Linked DNA regions of Elephas maximus indicus. The protein of the gene in region 2 purifies or fractionates together with the protein of the main gene of each other region. This does not show direct contact. Links are inferred from orthologs where the notes say so. Each region holds a gene or a part of one and is shown on either strand. Other genes may lie near its edges.

Region 1 (8,365 bases), on a different chromosome or scaffold from region 2:
ACGGTGTGAGAGGTGTGCACACTCAGAGGCTGGCCTAAAGACAGTTTTTCGGCCTTTTAGTATTAGTTTGCAGGAAGCTGCTACTGCCCTTAGGCAAGGAGGCCATCCTTGTGTGGGCAAATCCAGTTGCTTGGGGAAGTATCCTATGAGTCTCTGGTGAGGTCTCAGGCTCTGGGTAAAGACTCCCAGGGGTATCCTTTTGCATTCATGGGTGTAAAGATGAAAAGGCTTTTCCAAGTCAGGGAGGCCTAAAGCAGGGGCCTTTAATAAAGCAGCCTTTATTTCCTTAAAGGCCTGTCGATAGCTAGGAGACCAAATGAATGGGTCTCCATCTCCCCCTTTCATAGCTTCGTAAAGGTGTTTTGCTATCAGTACAAAGTTTGGGATCCATATTCTACAAAACCCAGCCATGCCTAAAAACCCTCTGAGCTCCCATCTGTTTGATGGTTTTTGAGTGGCACAAATGGCCTCCTTGCATGCAGGAGGTGGGGTTTAAGTTCCTTGTGATATGAGGAATCCCAAATATCGGACCTGTAGCTGGGATATCTGGGCTTTTTCCTTCCAGACTTTGTATCCCAACTGGGCCAGGAGATTGAAAATCTTAATGGTATTTTGGTCAGAGGCCTTTCGCCCTTCACTGGCGATGAGAAGATCATTAACATATTGGAGCAGGACACCCTCCTCTAATTTGAGGCCCTGGAAATCCTGACTGAGTGCTTCCCCAAAGACGGCTGTGCTGTTTTTAAATTCCCAGAGAATTACAGTCCAAGTTAATTGGGACTTGTGTCCTGTGTTGTAGTCTTCCCACTCTAAGGTGAACAGTGGCTGAGATTTCTGCAATGGGGATGAAGAAAAATGCACCTTTTAAATCAAGCACGGAGAAGTAGTTACAGTCTCCAGGTACTACAGCTAGCGAGGTATGGGGGTTCGGGACATTGAGTGGATATCACTTACGATTTGGTTGATGGCTCTCAGGTCCCGTACCATCCTGTATTCTCTGTTGGATTTCTTTACTGGCAGGATGGGTGTGTTGTATTCTGACTGGCATGGTCAAAGCATTCCCATTTTCAAGAATTGGGTTACCAGTTTCTCAAGTCCCTCTTGAGCCTCTCTTCTCATGGGATACTGCTTTAGATTGGGAGTTCCAATCCCTTCCCTTAGTTCGATTACCACTGGGGCTGCAGACACTGCTCTTCCAGGCTCTCCACTAGCCCATACAATGGGGTGTACTACTTGTAGGATGTGTTCCAGTATTTGGGAGGAGTCTTCTAATCTCTGGGGCAGGAGAACGGCTTGTAACCACCAGCCCTCCTAGGCTGGAGCCTGGATTTGGATAACCGGGTTTTCAGTCCCATGAAAGGAGATAAACCAAAACAAACCAAACCCAGTGCTGTCGAGTAGATTCCGACTCATAGCAACCCTATAGGACAGGGTAGAACTACTCCACAGAGTTTCCAAGGAACGCCTGGCGGATTCAAACTGCCGACACTTTGGTTAGCAGCCGTAGCACTTAACCACTACACCACCAGGGTTTCCATGAAAGGAGATACTGGCCCCTAATTTGGACAGCAAATCCTGTTCCAATAAGGTGGTCAGGCATTCTAGTATGTACAGGAATTGATGAGACTGGAGTTCCCAGTTGTGCATATAGCTGACTTAAAAAAGTTCTTATAATTTACTTTTCTTGACACACCAACAGTTGGAGTCCTTTTGGCGCTCAAGGGTAAGGTAAGGGGATCATTTAAAGCCGAGTGGGTGGTCCATGTGTCTAAGAGGAATTGAACTGGCCTCCCCTCTATTGTTAGGTTAACCCTGGGTTGTTCAGGGGAGATAGTGACAGTCTGTCCCTCTTGGAGCCAGTCTGTGGGAAGTCCCAGGCCCCTTCCCGGTTGGAGGTCACTCACCACATACTTGGCCGGCCAGCCTTGTTCAGGGCACTCATTTTTCCAGTGTCCCTCTTTATGACAGTAAGGCACATTGGTTCCTTTTCAGGGGGCCAAAGTTCCCCCTGGCAGGTTTTTTTCCCTTCTCTTGATGCTGGTTGATATGGTGAGGGGAATGGTTTCCCAGTTAAGGCTGCCACCAGCAGGGTAGCCTCTTGTCTTGCTCAGAGAGTCTCCTTCTGCTCTTGTTCCTGGTCCCTGTTATTAAAAACTTTAAAGGCTGTTTCAACGAATTGAGAGGTAGGCAAACCTGGCCCTCCATCCAATTTCTGGTTTTTTGTATATCTGTAGAGCTTTGTACTGTGAAGATGGTATTAACCATTTGTTGATTCTCACTAGCTGCCAGATCCGTATCAGTGTGTCTCTGGAAGGCCTGGAAAATTCTTTCAAGAAACTCAGAAGGGTTTTGTTTAGGGTTCCTGAATTACTTCATAAATTTTTGAGAGGTTTTTCTGTTTTTGTACCCCAGTTTTGTACCCTTCTAGTAAGCACTTTCTATAATGCCTCAGCCTACTCATGCCTTCCTTCGAATTGTAATCCCACTTTGGATCAACTCCAGGGACTGTGTTCTTGGCTGGCAGTTTGTCAGGATTTTGGGGGTCTTCATTATGTTCTTTATCAGCGAATTGTCTAGCCTTTTCCAAAACCATTCTCCTCTCTTCAGAAGAGAGAAGAACTTCCACCAGAGACTGGCAGTCTGCCCAGGTGGGCTGATGGGTATTAAAGATGGATGAAAATATGTCATGGATCTTTTGAGGATCCAGATGCTGTGTTGGGAAATTATTTTTCTAGTTAAACAAATCTGAAGCGGTGAAGGGGACATGCGTCAAAGTGTTCCTAATTCTCCTGTCTACTCCTGTCCCAGCCGGTGCCTCCCTTAAAGGGAATTGGACCACTTCTGGATCACGCTCCTTGTCAACACTCTGGAGGAAATGGACTGGCCTTGGCCAAATGTAGCACCACTGTGGGTGTGAGGTGGGAAGACCATTCCTGTTCCTGGGGTCCCAGGATCAATGCAGGCCGCTCCCGAGGCCCCGGGGCTGGGGTCAGCAGGAACCACTTGGGAAATCTGATGGTAAATAAGATTACATGGGGGTGACAGTCCCACTACAAGCTTGGACTCTTCTCTCTCGAGAATTTGTTTAGACTTCTGATTAACCTGAACCATCAATCTGCTTTGCTATTGTAATCCCTGATTATAACACAGAGTCATGAACACTTGAACATAAGGTATCTCATCCTACTTACGCGTTTTCTTACAAATCTAACTGCAATATGGTATTATAGTGCAAACTTACCTTGGCCAGCCACTTCTCCTGACCTTCTAAGTTATATTGAGGCCAAGCTGTGCCACAGAGGAACCTCGAATGCTTCGTCCTGGTGTCACCAGTTTTAAAAAAATCCCAGTGGGTCAAGATGCACTCTAAGGGGGATGGTTTAGGGGTGGACTGACCGGCAGCCATCTTGTTTATAGATCTTATCGCTTCTAATCAGTAGGCCAGGGGAAGGATGTATTCGAGAGGCCCTGACTATACGGAGGCGCGGAACTCGGTTACCCTGATACATAATCTCAGGTGGAGCAATTCAAGTACCACACCTTCCACAGCCAATATTTGTAAGGACCGTACTTTGCTCCAACTGAGTTACTGTCTTATACGAGACTCAGTATCTAAAATTAGAAAGGATGTTTCAGTACACTCCTCATAAGAGAGATAGACATAAAACCATCCTGCGCAGGGAGACTTCCGAGCTAGAACATGAGACAAACGGGGGCGGGGGGGGGCCCAAGACACAGGGACAATATTCCTTAACCAGATCCTATAACAAGATCCTGGCCAAAAAAAAAAAAAAATGCAGGGGTTGAGACAAAAGACCAGATGGAGACCTGTGCCCTCATGCAGGTGGGGACTCAGCCCCAGGACACAGGGAGATCACCACAAGGCCTAATAACACCCGTTACTGAGGACACGACCAACCACCTAGTAGCTCCTCCAAAATGAAACTTAAAATAGGTACCTGTTTCATGGCACTGTCAGAATGTTTCTCTTCTCCAGTGGGGGACTTGTGGGTTGTCTGGTCTGGGGCTGGTGCGGCCCAGAAAGTCCTCCTGACCCAATGGAGCGTCAAGGGTGCCCTCTGGAGGAGGTTTCAGGACCTAATTTACCCTGAGCCAGAGTCTCCACTGCGTCCCATCTGGGGTGCCAGATGAAGCCCTCAACTAATAGGTTCTTGTTAAGCAGACTAGCGAGTTGAAGTCAGCCAGACACAAGGGTGGAAGAACAGAAAGGTTTATTCGGTTTGCAAACCGGGAGGCAGGCAGGGTCTCGTGACCTAAGACTGCCAGCTCCCTGAACCAGGGCAGATTTGCCCCTTTTATAGGGAGTGACATACATATGCGTGAACAGTGTGGGGAGGGTCCTCAGTCTTGTGATGCGTGGGCAGTCTGCATAATTTTTGTGAATGAGTTTTGGCCCACGGCTCTAAAAATATTGTGCACAGCCCTAAAAAAATGGTGATGGTTCCCTACTGCCACTGAAGGAAGGTCATACAGCAGGTAAATTTGGAGTTAGTGCACCTACGCCTTGGCCTTCTGCCAGGAGAAGAGAAGAAACCCGGGATTCAACCAATCATGGTGAAGTGCTGTAAAATTTGTAACAAAAATGTAGCAAGAGTAAACTTTTCTGAAATACAACTACTATGGGATGGCTAATATAACCCTTAATAACACTTTCATGACTGCCTGCTTCACAACGACCCTATAGGACAGAGTAGAACCGCCCCACAAGGTTTCTGAGGCTGTAATCTTTACAGAAGCAGACTGCCACATCTTTCTCCTATGCTGGTGGGTTCGAACCATCAACGTTTCGGTTGGCAGCCAAGCACTTTTAACCACTGTGCCATCAAGGCTCTTGCTTAGTAAAACCAAAAACCAAACCCATTGGGGTTAAGTAGATTCCCACTCATAGTGATCCTATAGAACAGGGTAGAACTGCCCCATAAGGGTTTCTAAGGAGCGGCTGGGGGATTCCAACTACCCAGTTAGCAGCCGAGCTCTTAACCACTGCACCGCCAGAGCTCCTGGCTCAGTAAAACTAGGTTTTATCACAGGTTTACTCAAGGGCTAGCTGTTTTCTAAGCCCAGACTGCACGGGTCTCCTTCAAGCCCCGCCCCCACCAGCAGGCCCTGCCCCATCCCCACTCAGTCCCTCCTCCTCCTCACCAGGTCCCGCCCCAGCTGGTGGTGGTTCCTCCAACCACCAGGGAGCGACGGAGCTGAGGACCACCTTCTGCACTAACCGGGTGACACTCTGGGTAGCGGCAGCGGCTCCTCTGTGGCCAGTTGTGGCGGCGCTCTAGCCGCCGGGTGTGCGGAGCGGGCTCTCAGTGGTGCGGCCGGCGGGCGGCGATGGCGGCCGTACGGGGCCTGCGAGTGTCGGTGAAGGCGGAGGCCCCGGCAGGGCCGGCCCTGGGGCTCCCTTCGCCAGAGGCCGAGCCTGGCCTGGAGCGCGGCGAACCAGAGCCTATGGAGGTGGAGGAGGGCGAGCTGGAGATCGTGCCGGTGCGGCGCTCGCTGAAGGAGCTGATCCCGGTACGGGCGGGGGGCGGGGGTCGGAGAGGAGGTCGCGGAGGGAGTGCCCCGCGCTCGAGGGGGCCGGAAGGGGAGGTGGCTGGCGCCCGGGCCGGGGGAAGTTGGGGGTGAGGAGGAGAGGGGCGCGGGCGCCCGGGGGGCGGGGGGCCAGGCTTGAGGAAGGGGAGAGAGAGAAAGGATGCTGGGAGCCCGGAAACGGGTGGTGAGGGGGCTGGAGGACCGGCGGGAGAGCTGGGGGGTAGTTGAGGACACCCTACGCTGCTTCCCTGAACCTGTTTGTGGAAGGGAGTGAGCGAGGAGCCGCCGGGTTTGAGATAATGGGGACACCCGGGGCGGGAACAGAACCAGGGGCGGCCCAGAAGGAAGTGTTGGGTGGCCCTGGCGTCCAGGTCTCCTTGTGGGTCTTGCTTTAGTGTAGTTGGTGTTTTAAACCTGGCACTCGCGGTCTCTCTGGGGAGCACTGGCTTTGTCAGCAGCAGAAACTCACGGTGTTTTCTGTTGTGGCTTGAGGGTCATCTTGCCTCGGCGCAGCTCCACTGCGGTACAGGACCTACACCGTTGCCCCAGCATCTGACCTCTAATGAAACCAGAGTAGGTGCACCAGTCATCTTTCTCGGCCCCTCTTTTATCACAAGGGGGATGGGGAGAGGTGTTTTGCTTGTGGTTTGGTGGTCGTACGGTGCGGTTTTCAGACAACTGGTCTCCGGCCTGGATGGTCCTCTCATATCCTTAAATTCTCACCTGCCATAAAATACTTTTCACCACGTCAGCAAGTCTTGCTTTAAACTGAAGTCGTGAGAAAAGGTTAAGGTAGGCTTACTAGAAATGGCCGATGATAATAAACATAATGGCACTTTACCGTTTACTGCATTATGCTGTTTAAATATCATTGCACCTGTGAAGTAGGTATTATCGTTCTTTTGTTCATTCAGTTCAGTATCTGTTGCACCCCTCATTATGTGCCAGGCCGTGTCCTAGGCACTAGATCAAGATAAGTCTCCCTCCTGGAGTTTATATTCTAGTTGGGGGACACAGATAATAAACTAATGAACAAATAATTCCTGATACTGGGATGTGTTTGAAGAAAATAAAACACAGGATAGAGAGTGCAGGGAGTAGGGAGGGCGTGCAGAAGCAGAATGTGATAGGATGGTCAGGGAAGACCTCTGAGGTAGTGACGTTCAAGTCCAACCCTAGATGACAAAAAGGAGCCAACAATGTGCAGGTACAGAAGGGAGTGTGGCCAGTAGCGGGAACAGCAAATGCAAAAGTTCTGAGATGGGAACAAGATTGTTTTGTTGGAGAAATGGAAAGTTCTGTAGCACAAGTGGAACAGTAGTAAAAAAGGTCAGGAAGGTAGGCAGATACCATAGGAGAAACTGAGACCCACAGAGATAAAAGGATTGTCTTTTAATCCTCTGTGTCCAAATCCCATCTTCTTTTCATTGTACTGTGCTGTGTTTTCCCCTTGAACTCTAGGAGAGCCTGGACTCTCTGCATTTTGGTAGACTTGTGCTCCATCTAGTGGCCTAGCCTGGGGAGTTTGTCCAGTCTGGGTTGGGGCGATAAGACATGACTGCACCTCATCTTTGACATTTTCTCCAAAGCCTTCAGATTCACATTTACATGGATATCTTCAGTTGATGGGATTACTTCAGGTTTTGGGTGGGCTCTGATCTAGAAGGGACTTCTTAGAGTCCCTGGGACAGGCTTTCTCATAATAAGGAGTTGTCGGGGATGGGGGAAGTGTTGCTGAAAAGAATGACTATCCAAGGGGAATCACTTGTCAGGCTGCCTTTTATCATGAGTTTTTCTTCAGTTGCTGTCAGCACTTCTCACTGTTCCTCTTTGTGTTAGGACACAAGTAGAAGATACGAAAACAAGGCTGGCAGCTTCATCACTGGAATCGATGTTACTTCCAAGGTAAAACAGACCATGATCGGTTTATTCAGTTTGATAAGTGTCTTGGGAACTTGGTCCCTCAACATAATGCGAGAGTATTATTCTTTACTTCCTTTTTTTTCTTGTTGCTGGATTACGTTTGTTCTTAATTGCATGTTACACAAGGCAGCCCTCATGCATCCCCCAAAAACATCCAGGCAACATTACATCCCCAAAAAGATAAAACTACTATACCTAGATGCCTGTGCTTAACCATTTCCAAGAAGAAATTCTGTGCTAGGAGTGCTTTTTTAATGCTGCGTGTCCATTCTTTCAAAATGTGTGCTTGTGGCCATTTTAAGTGAAAAGTGCCTGGCACATAGTAGGCCCTTAGTAAATGCCTTTATTCCTCATAGGTTGTAGGCTTAGAAAAATAGGGCTTACTGATTGCGTGGCTATCTGAACTTTGAAGGCCAAGTCAACAAAATTATTCCCAGTACCTGAGAGTATTGCCTTTTAACTAGCGATTGCTGTTAACTAGATTACCAGCTTCATTGCACTGTTGCATAGAGCCAGACCTATTGTTTTCCTTATAAGCAATCCGTATGAATTTGTCACTTTGATCGGTTTTATCTAGTTTAGATACCATTTGTGATTTTAACGTGTGCTGTTAAATTTGGAACAGAATTATGAATAGCAGTTCTAAATAACAATACTATATTGGATGTATAAAAGCAAAAATAAAAATTAAATATGTCATGCTTTCTTTTTAATATTTTATCTTTCGGCTTAAAGACCGAAAGAGAATTAGTCATCCTTTAGACAAGCAAGAAAATGGAATAAAGTGAAATGTTTTCTTATTCTTACTGTAATTGAAAAAATTATAGTCTATACTGTTCTTAATCCTACATAGTTTGCCATTATATGGAACAGCTATATGAGAGAAAGGGTG
Region 2 (7,205 bases):
AAGCAAATTTCTCTGTTAAAGCCATCCACTGGTGGTATTTCTGTTATAGCAGCACTAGATGACTAAGACAGTGCTTCAGCATCCGATACTAGTTTCTCAACCCTGCCCACCCAGTCATAAGTCGTTACTTTGTTAAACTCTCCTCCATTTTCCCAGTGAGTGTGCCATCTACTTCCTGTCAGGTTCTGACTGATATATCTTCCCAGAAAATTTCAAAGTAATATCTGTACTTCCACGGATGACTACCTCCCCCAGTTCCCACACTATACACATATAAACCTGTTAACCTTTGCCTTTGTGCCAATTCTGACTCATGGAGACCCTATAGAACAGAGTAGGGTTTCCAAGGAGCAGCTGGTGGATTTGAACAGCTGGCCTTTTGGTTAGTAGCTGCACATGCCCTTAACTACTGAGCCACCAGGGCTCCATACCCAAGCTGTCTAATCTTAGTTTATGCTTGTAAAGCATCTATCTCAGGGGCTGGCATATATTATTATGTACTCAATAATTATTCATTCCTTTCCATTCTTCTCACCCACAATCTAACACCCCACATGAGGTATTATTACCCTATCTTAGTCATCTAGTGCTGCTATAACAGAAATACCACAAGTGTATGGCTTTAGCAAAGAGAAGTTTATTCTCTTACAGTCCAGCAGGCTAGAAGTCTGAATTCAGGGTGCCAGCTCCAGGGGAAGGCTTTCTCTGTCGGCCCTAGAGGAAGCTGCTTGTCATCAGTCTTCCCTTGGTCTGGGAGCATCTCAGCACAAGAACCTCAGGTCCAAATGATGTGCTCTGCTCCTGGTGCTGCTTTCTTGGTGGTATGAGGTTCCCATGTCTCTCTCCTCACTTCTCTTTTTTATATCTCAAAAGAGATTCGCTTAAGACACTATCTAATCTTGTAGATTTCATCAACAGAACTGACACTAATGCATCTTACTACATCATCGTAATAGGATTTACAACACATAGGGAAATCACATCAGATGATAAAATGGTAGACAATCTTACAATCATACAAGTGAATCATGACCTAGCCAAGTTGACAGACATTTTGGGGGAACACAGTTCAATCCATTACTTACCCCTATTTTTTTCAACAGGTCTCATTGAGGTTAAATAACTCTTGCTGAAAACGACAGTAAAAAAGTAAAAGAATTGGGTCTCAAACCAAGATCTGCCTCATTGCACCTTACCACTCCACTTTTCACTACATCATGGTACAATCTTATTTGTACCCCTCAGCACTGCTTACTGTGGCGGTCGCCATACAGTAGCTGCATTAAAAATATTTATTGAGTAGTGAAATGAATAAATTCTGTCATCACTCATACATTCATTAAGTTGTTACATAAGTTGTAAGAAAAAATAAACAGTATGGTTACTAATTTTGAGCCTCTTTAGCTCCGTAAAAAGTGGTCGTTGATGTTGAAAAACACTTCCAGTCATATTGTTACTGCATTTTACTGAGGTTCAGCCCTTCATATGAACATTGTGACCCTTAACATGGCATTTCATCTTCAGCAATTTCCAGAAACAAATCATTACAGAGCTCAATGTAAGAGCATTAGAAGCAACACATTTTAAAACCATGGTAAAAACTTTATTTTTCAAGTGGCCAGTGGCAATGATGCTAATGAGAGTTTCCTAAATAGTTTATGCCTGTAGCGTACCTCTATTTTACCTGTTTTGGTTTCTGCCTGTTTTCCAACCTTGATTCTCAAGCTTTTCAGTCAATTTTGCCAGTTCACTGATATCCTTACAATAAAAAAAAAAAAAAAACTAAACTACTCATTGCCATCGAGTCAATTCTAACTCATAGTTGTTGTTGCTGTTAGGTGTGTCAAGTTGGTTCTGACTCATAGCGACCCTATGTACCACAGAGTGAAACACTGCCTGGTCCTACATCCTTACAATTATTGTTATGCTTGAACCCATTGTTGCAGCCACTGCGTCAATCCATCTCATTAAGGGTCTTCCTCTTTTGGGCTGACCCTGTACTTTACCAAGCATGATGTCCTTCTCCAGGGACTGATCCCTCTTGACAATATGTCCAAAGTATATACGATGCAGTCTCGCCATCCTTGCTTCTAAGGAGCATTCTGATTGTACTTCTTCCAAGACAGATTTATTCATTCCTTTGGCAGTCCATGGTATATTCCGATTCACAGCGACCCTATAACACCAAAACCAAACCCGTTGCAGGACAGGGTAAAACTGCCCCATAGGGTTTCAAGGAGAGGCTGGTGGATTTGAACTGTCAACATTTCAGCTAGTAGCCAAACGCTTAACCACTCACTGCACTACCAAGGCTCCATTCTTACAATAAGTTTCCTTATTGCTTATGTCAGTTTATTGCAGCTAAGTGCATCCTGAATGATATGAGCTTGCCAATGTTAGGCCATTTTTTACCTATTAAAAATTGCCATTTCTTGAGGTTCATCCTAACAGAATTTGGAAAAAGGAAGTGCAGTGCTTGAAATGTGGAGTTGACTGAGTCAAGGAGGTGAAGTGGAAGGTGTGATGCCCCACCCCACCACCACTAATCTAAAAAATGCTCTCACCGTTCATCCTGAGTGGCTCCTTTCTCTCAAAATGCCCCATGGGAGAAAAAAAGGAAATCAGTATTTTTCAATGGCAGACACTTTGCATATTATCTCATTTAACTTACCATCATCCTTCATGAAGCAGATGTTATAACCACAATTTTAAAGATTCTAAGATTGAAGATGAGAGAGGTTATTTAACTTTCCCGTAAGATCATCTAACTCTTAAAGTACCTGAACAAAATTTGTACCCAGATCTCTTTGTACTGTGACCTCAACCAAAGTCAAAGTGTTTTCCTCTATACCAGGACAGATGAGGCTGAGATTATCACTGTAGGAATGAATTCTGGCCAGTCTGTATCTTAGGAAACACAATCTAATTTAGCCTGTTTTTAAATGGGTTAAAAACAAAGAATGGGGGACAGTTTCAAACTGGAGAAACATCTTTGAATAGTTTATTGACCATGTGACGCAGATCACTTAGGTCCTATCAGGCCTCAGTTTTCTCATCTGTAAAATAAGACGTTTGGGCCTGATAACACATTTTCCCAGTTCCTTTACTGCTTGGACATTCTATTGAGAGAGAACTCACTTGCCTCAAGATGCGGCCACCTTGATGGGTAAAAAAGAAAAAAAAATTTTTTTTTTCTTTTTTGTTGGGTAAAAAAAATAAAAAGATTTTTTTTGTTGTTGTTGGGTAGGCTTTGAAAATTAGTGTGTTCAAGTTAAGAGGCATTTGAACTATTCCAGAGAAAGCCAACTGAGGATCTGAAGGCAGGAATGAGGGGCAATGGAGGTGAAGGTATGAAAGAAGAGGAGGACTGGAGCTAGAGATGGAAACACAAAAAGTATAGGAGCATGCAGATGACTCAAGAGAACAACAAACGGGTATACAGCGTTTATAATGCAAACGAAACTGCTGGTCCTCTAAGGATGCAGGATAAAGACCCTGAGCTCTCAAGGCGCTCACGGAATGCCCGGAGGTTACATTGCATTTATCGGAGATCAATACAACTTCGATCCCTCTAGAAGCCCCGACGGAAAGATGAAAAGAAAACTGAAAAACAACTTCCTAAAAAACAAAAACGTTTGAATGTGCTGGGGCAACGTGAAAAGATAATCTCTGGAAACAAATGGGACACACTGGCACGCCGGATGCGCGAGTAGCACAAGGGAATGAGGAATGACGCACCTCCGTCCCTCAGACATAATCCGAACACACACAAAAAAGCCCGCCCGGGCCCTCAGCCGCGCACCCCTTCCTCTCTGCTAGCGGAGCGCCAAAGGCTGTGCAGAGACGACCACCACCCCCGACCACTCCCCCGCCTCCATCCCTCGGGCCTCGGAAGTGACGCAGAGCGCCCCGCCCCCGCCGCTAGATCCGCTGCTGCTGCCGCGGCGGGCGGATCTGCAGGAGGCGGCGGCCGAGGCCGAGAGAAAATGGCGGACGGTGTGGACCACATAGACATTTACGCGGATGTGGGCGAAGAGTTCAACCAGGTACGTAGGGACCCGGCCCGCCCTGTCGAAGCGGGCGGCGCTGCGGCCCGGGCTCTGACCCGGGCCCCGTCGCTTACCGCGAGCCGGCAGGCTGCAGATCGTGCGCCCTTGTCCCCTCCGGGCCGCGCCGCCCGGTCCCGGCGCGGCGCCCCCCTCCCCCCGCCCCTCGTTCCACCGCGTCGTTTCGCGGGCCGCGGGCGCTGCGGCCTGTCGCGGGGCCCGGAGTCCGGACGCGGGCCGCCGTGCAGCCGCCGTCGCCCCTCCCTCGCCTCGCTCCCCATTGTTGGCGGCGGCCATCGGCTGCTTCCCGCCGCGCTAGGCCGGGGCGGCGGGGCCGCGTGTGTGCGGCGGGGAGAACGGGCACCGCCGCGCCCCCTCCTCTGCCGCCGGGCGGAGGAGGAAGCCCTGGCGGGGCTCGCGCCGGCTGCAGCCTCTTTCCTGGCCCCACCGCTCGGGCTCTGATTCCTCTTGTCGCTCTCCATTTTGTCTCTCTAACCGCGCACGGTCGCTTCGTGGAAGGCCGCATTCACGGCCCTTTGTATCCCGCGCGCCCAGTTTCTTGGGCGTCCCTGCTTGGTTTGCGGCAGGTTTCGGCGTGTCTCTTTCCTCCTCCTCCGCTCACGCTTCCTGAAGGCGGGTTAGGTGTGGGCACGTTTGCAACAAGTCCTTTGACTTTGGACCCACAGATCGTATATAAAAGTCGGTGCTTTGGCGCTGCTTATTAATCGAGGGCTTGCGGTGCTTGTGAGGCCCAGTCGCTCTTGGCCTTTGTGGTGAAAATACCCGTGAAGATGGCTTGAGCAAAAAGAATTGGAAGCGCAGTGGTGGGATGGAACAAAAAGATGGTAGCTCAACAAGAGATTAGACATAGAGGAGTGATTGAAAATGAAGACCGTTCACGCGAATTTCTTATGCTGTTTTAGAAATAAAGACTTGTAGATATGACCCTGTTTTCGAAAGCGAAGTGTTAAATTTCTCCCGTAGGACATGCTTTTACATTTTGAGAGGTTGGAGGAAGGAGAATGCAAGGTTTTTCCAGTATCAAAGGCCACGGTTGCCTGGAAGAATCGCCCGCAGAGTAATCATGCCTGATGGTGGGCATCCTTCTAAAAGATCTAGTCTGTTACTAGTGACGTTTAAGCGCTAAGTGTGCTGTTCACGTCTTCACTGCATTTTATATACGTAAAAGAAAAAAATCAAATTGTGCCTGAATAAATATAGTGCACCTAAAAGCATTGTTTTTTTGTTTTTTTTTTTATTTTCCAGGTTCGTATGAGAAGCTTAATAAAATTCTGCTTAATGTGTGCTTCCCCCCACCCCGCCCCAAGGGCATTATTTGTGATTAAGGGCCCAAGATTTTTAAAAGCATGGAAATCACAGAAATCCTTACTGTTTGTCAAAAATGACTTAGTACCCTGGTTTAAATATTCGAAAAGAAAAAAATTTCCAATTGTTTCTTACTCTCAAAAACTGGATATGTTTAAATGTAACTCATTGTTATCGAATGTTAAATTGAAAAAAATTTTATTCTTAAATTTTGGGTATGTGTTGTGTCAATTGCAAATGAGAAAATTTCATTGAGTGCTACACAGAGTCGGATTCTAATGCTTTTAACGTCAGTAGACAAAGATCTCTAGGAAATTTTTTTTTCTTTTTTGCTTTAACATTCCATCCAAAAGAGGGCCATACCTGCAAGTAAAGGCACAATTGAGTAATCAGGATTGTCTTCATTAGCTTTTTTTACAAGAGAATACATTGCTTCGTGTTTCTCCCCACAATTAAGGAAGAATTGGAACATAATTTTAGAAGTTACAGCTTTGTCGAGTCCCTCTTGATGAAATAATTTTAATCTTTAGCGTACTTAATTGGGAGGGACATCTTCCCTACCCAGATAGCTAGATGGAGTGATACTTCTTATCCCTGTGCAGTAAGTGCTGACTGAGCAGGAGGTAAGAAAAGATTACAATTTGGGGGATTTGAGGAGCAACTACTTCATAGGTTCCTTTTTAAAGGTAACTTTTCATTCACTTGTATCTATACCATTATATCTTACACATAGTGTGTGTATAATTTTGCCAGTAAAATCTTTATACCTTTGAATAGATTTAATGGGTGTGGGGCTACAAGTTTATTAAGTAGAGGTTTTGTTTCTCTCATTTTGCATGTCATTGGCTTCTGTAATATGCTTGCTATGGTAATTCCTGTTTTTTTTTATGGCCACAAAAGGGTGGTCATTTTCAAGGTTCATCTTGCTTTTTTTTTTTTTTTTAATATTAGACCGTCTTTGAAATGTTTTTCTGTAATATATCAGAATTAGAGGCAACTGCAAAGTTATCGAAGACTGATTTAATTTATGCTCTTGTTAGCTGGTGGCCTTATTTCTACTGGTTGTTTAAACTATAAGACTTTATTGTAGTTGAAAGAGATTATCTTACTAGTTACTAGTCTTGACTTATTTTTGGCTTTTAAACTACTGTAAATATTAAAAAAAAAACAACTTTGTTCTCTGATGTGAGCTGCATTTCTAACTGAATTTGTATACCTTGAAATTCTCTGTAGTCTGTATTATCCATTTTCTACTGTGAAAGCATGGCCATTTCTTTTATGAAGTCTTTTTGTCCTTGTATTTTGGTAATGCACCGTATTAACCTACTTTAAAAAGTGTAAGTCATTCGGTTGTCATAGAAGAAACTTTAATTTGTTTGAGAACGGGTGAGAATAAAACAGTGAAACTATAGTAGAGGTCCTTTCTTCACCAGATGAACTTTAGAATGGAGAAGAAAGTTGGAGGAAGGAAGAAGACACAAGAGAGTAGGCTGTTCTTTATGGGTGCTCTTTAGTTCTTGAAGGTCTTTGGATGTCACCAAATTGAGACTGAGAACAGTTGCCCTAGTGGAGGGAGAATTTAAACTACTTCCAAACCTCTACATTACTTGAATTTGGAGTTGAGAAGAAAGAGCTTCTGTCTTGGCCTCTATGGTATATTAGTTCAGTTTGAACGGGGATTTGTACTCAGTGTAGTAGCTAGCCTAATATTTGGTGAATACAATATGCTTTTTTGCCCAAAACTAAATAATAATTTTTTAAAACCTCAATTGTTCATAATACATTTTTTGAGTACCGGTTATGTGCCAACAACAAAGAATGCAAAGATTAAGT

The links. Proteins that work in one complex are often made in the same cells at the same time.
Region 1: the proteins of CPSF6 (region 2) and NCBP3 purify together in Homo sapiens (co-immunoprecipitation; 3 studies listed by BioGRID and IntAct, with this or other methods). This does not show direct contact. The link is inferred for Elephas maximus indicus from reciprocal best matches to the Homo sapiens genes CPSF6 and NCBP3.

What each region holds. Positions count from the first base shown.
Region 1 is NC_064837.1:17,352,157-17,360,521, forward strand, and holds the start of NCBP3 (nuclear cap-binding protein subunit 3), read left to right. Parts: upstream 1-5,297; 5' UTR 5,298-5,349; coding exon 5,350-5,532; intron 5,533-6,042; coding exon 6,043-6,123; intron 6,124-7,389; coding exon 7,390-7,455; intron 7,456-8,365. UniProt on the Homo sapiens protein: Associates with NCBP1/CBP80 to form an alternative cap-binding complex (CBC) which plays a key role in mRNA export. NCBP3 serves as adapter protein linking the capped RNAs (m7GpppG-capped RNA) to NCBP1/CBP80.
Region 2 is NC_064822.1:130,074,131-130,081,335, forward strand, and holds the start of CPSF6 (cleavage and polyadenylation specificity factor subunit 6), read left to right. Parts: upstream 1-3,899; 5' UTR 3,900-3,986; coding exon 3,987-4,046; intron 4,047-7,205. UniProt on the Homo sapiens protein: Component of the cleavage factor Im (CFIm) complex that functions as an activator of the pre-mRNA 3'-end cleavage and polyadenylation processing required for the maturation of pre-mRNA into functional mRNAs.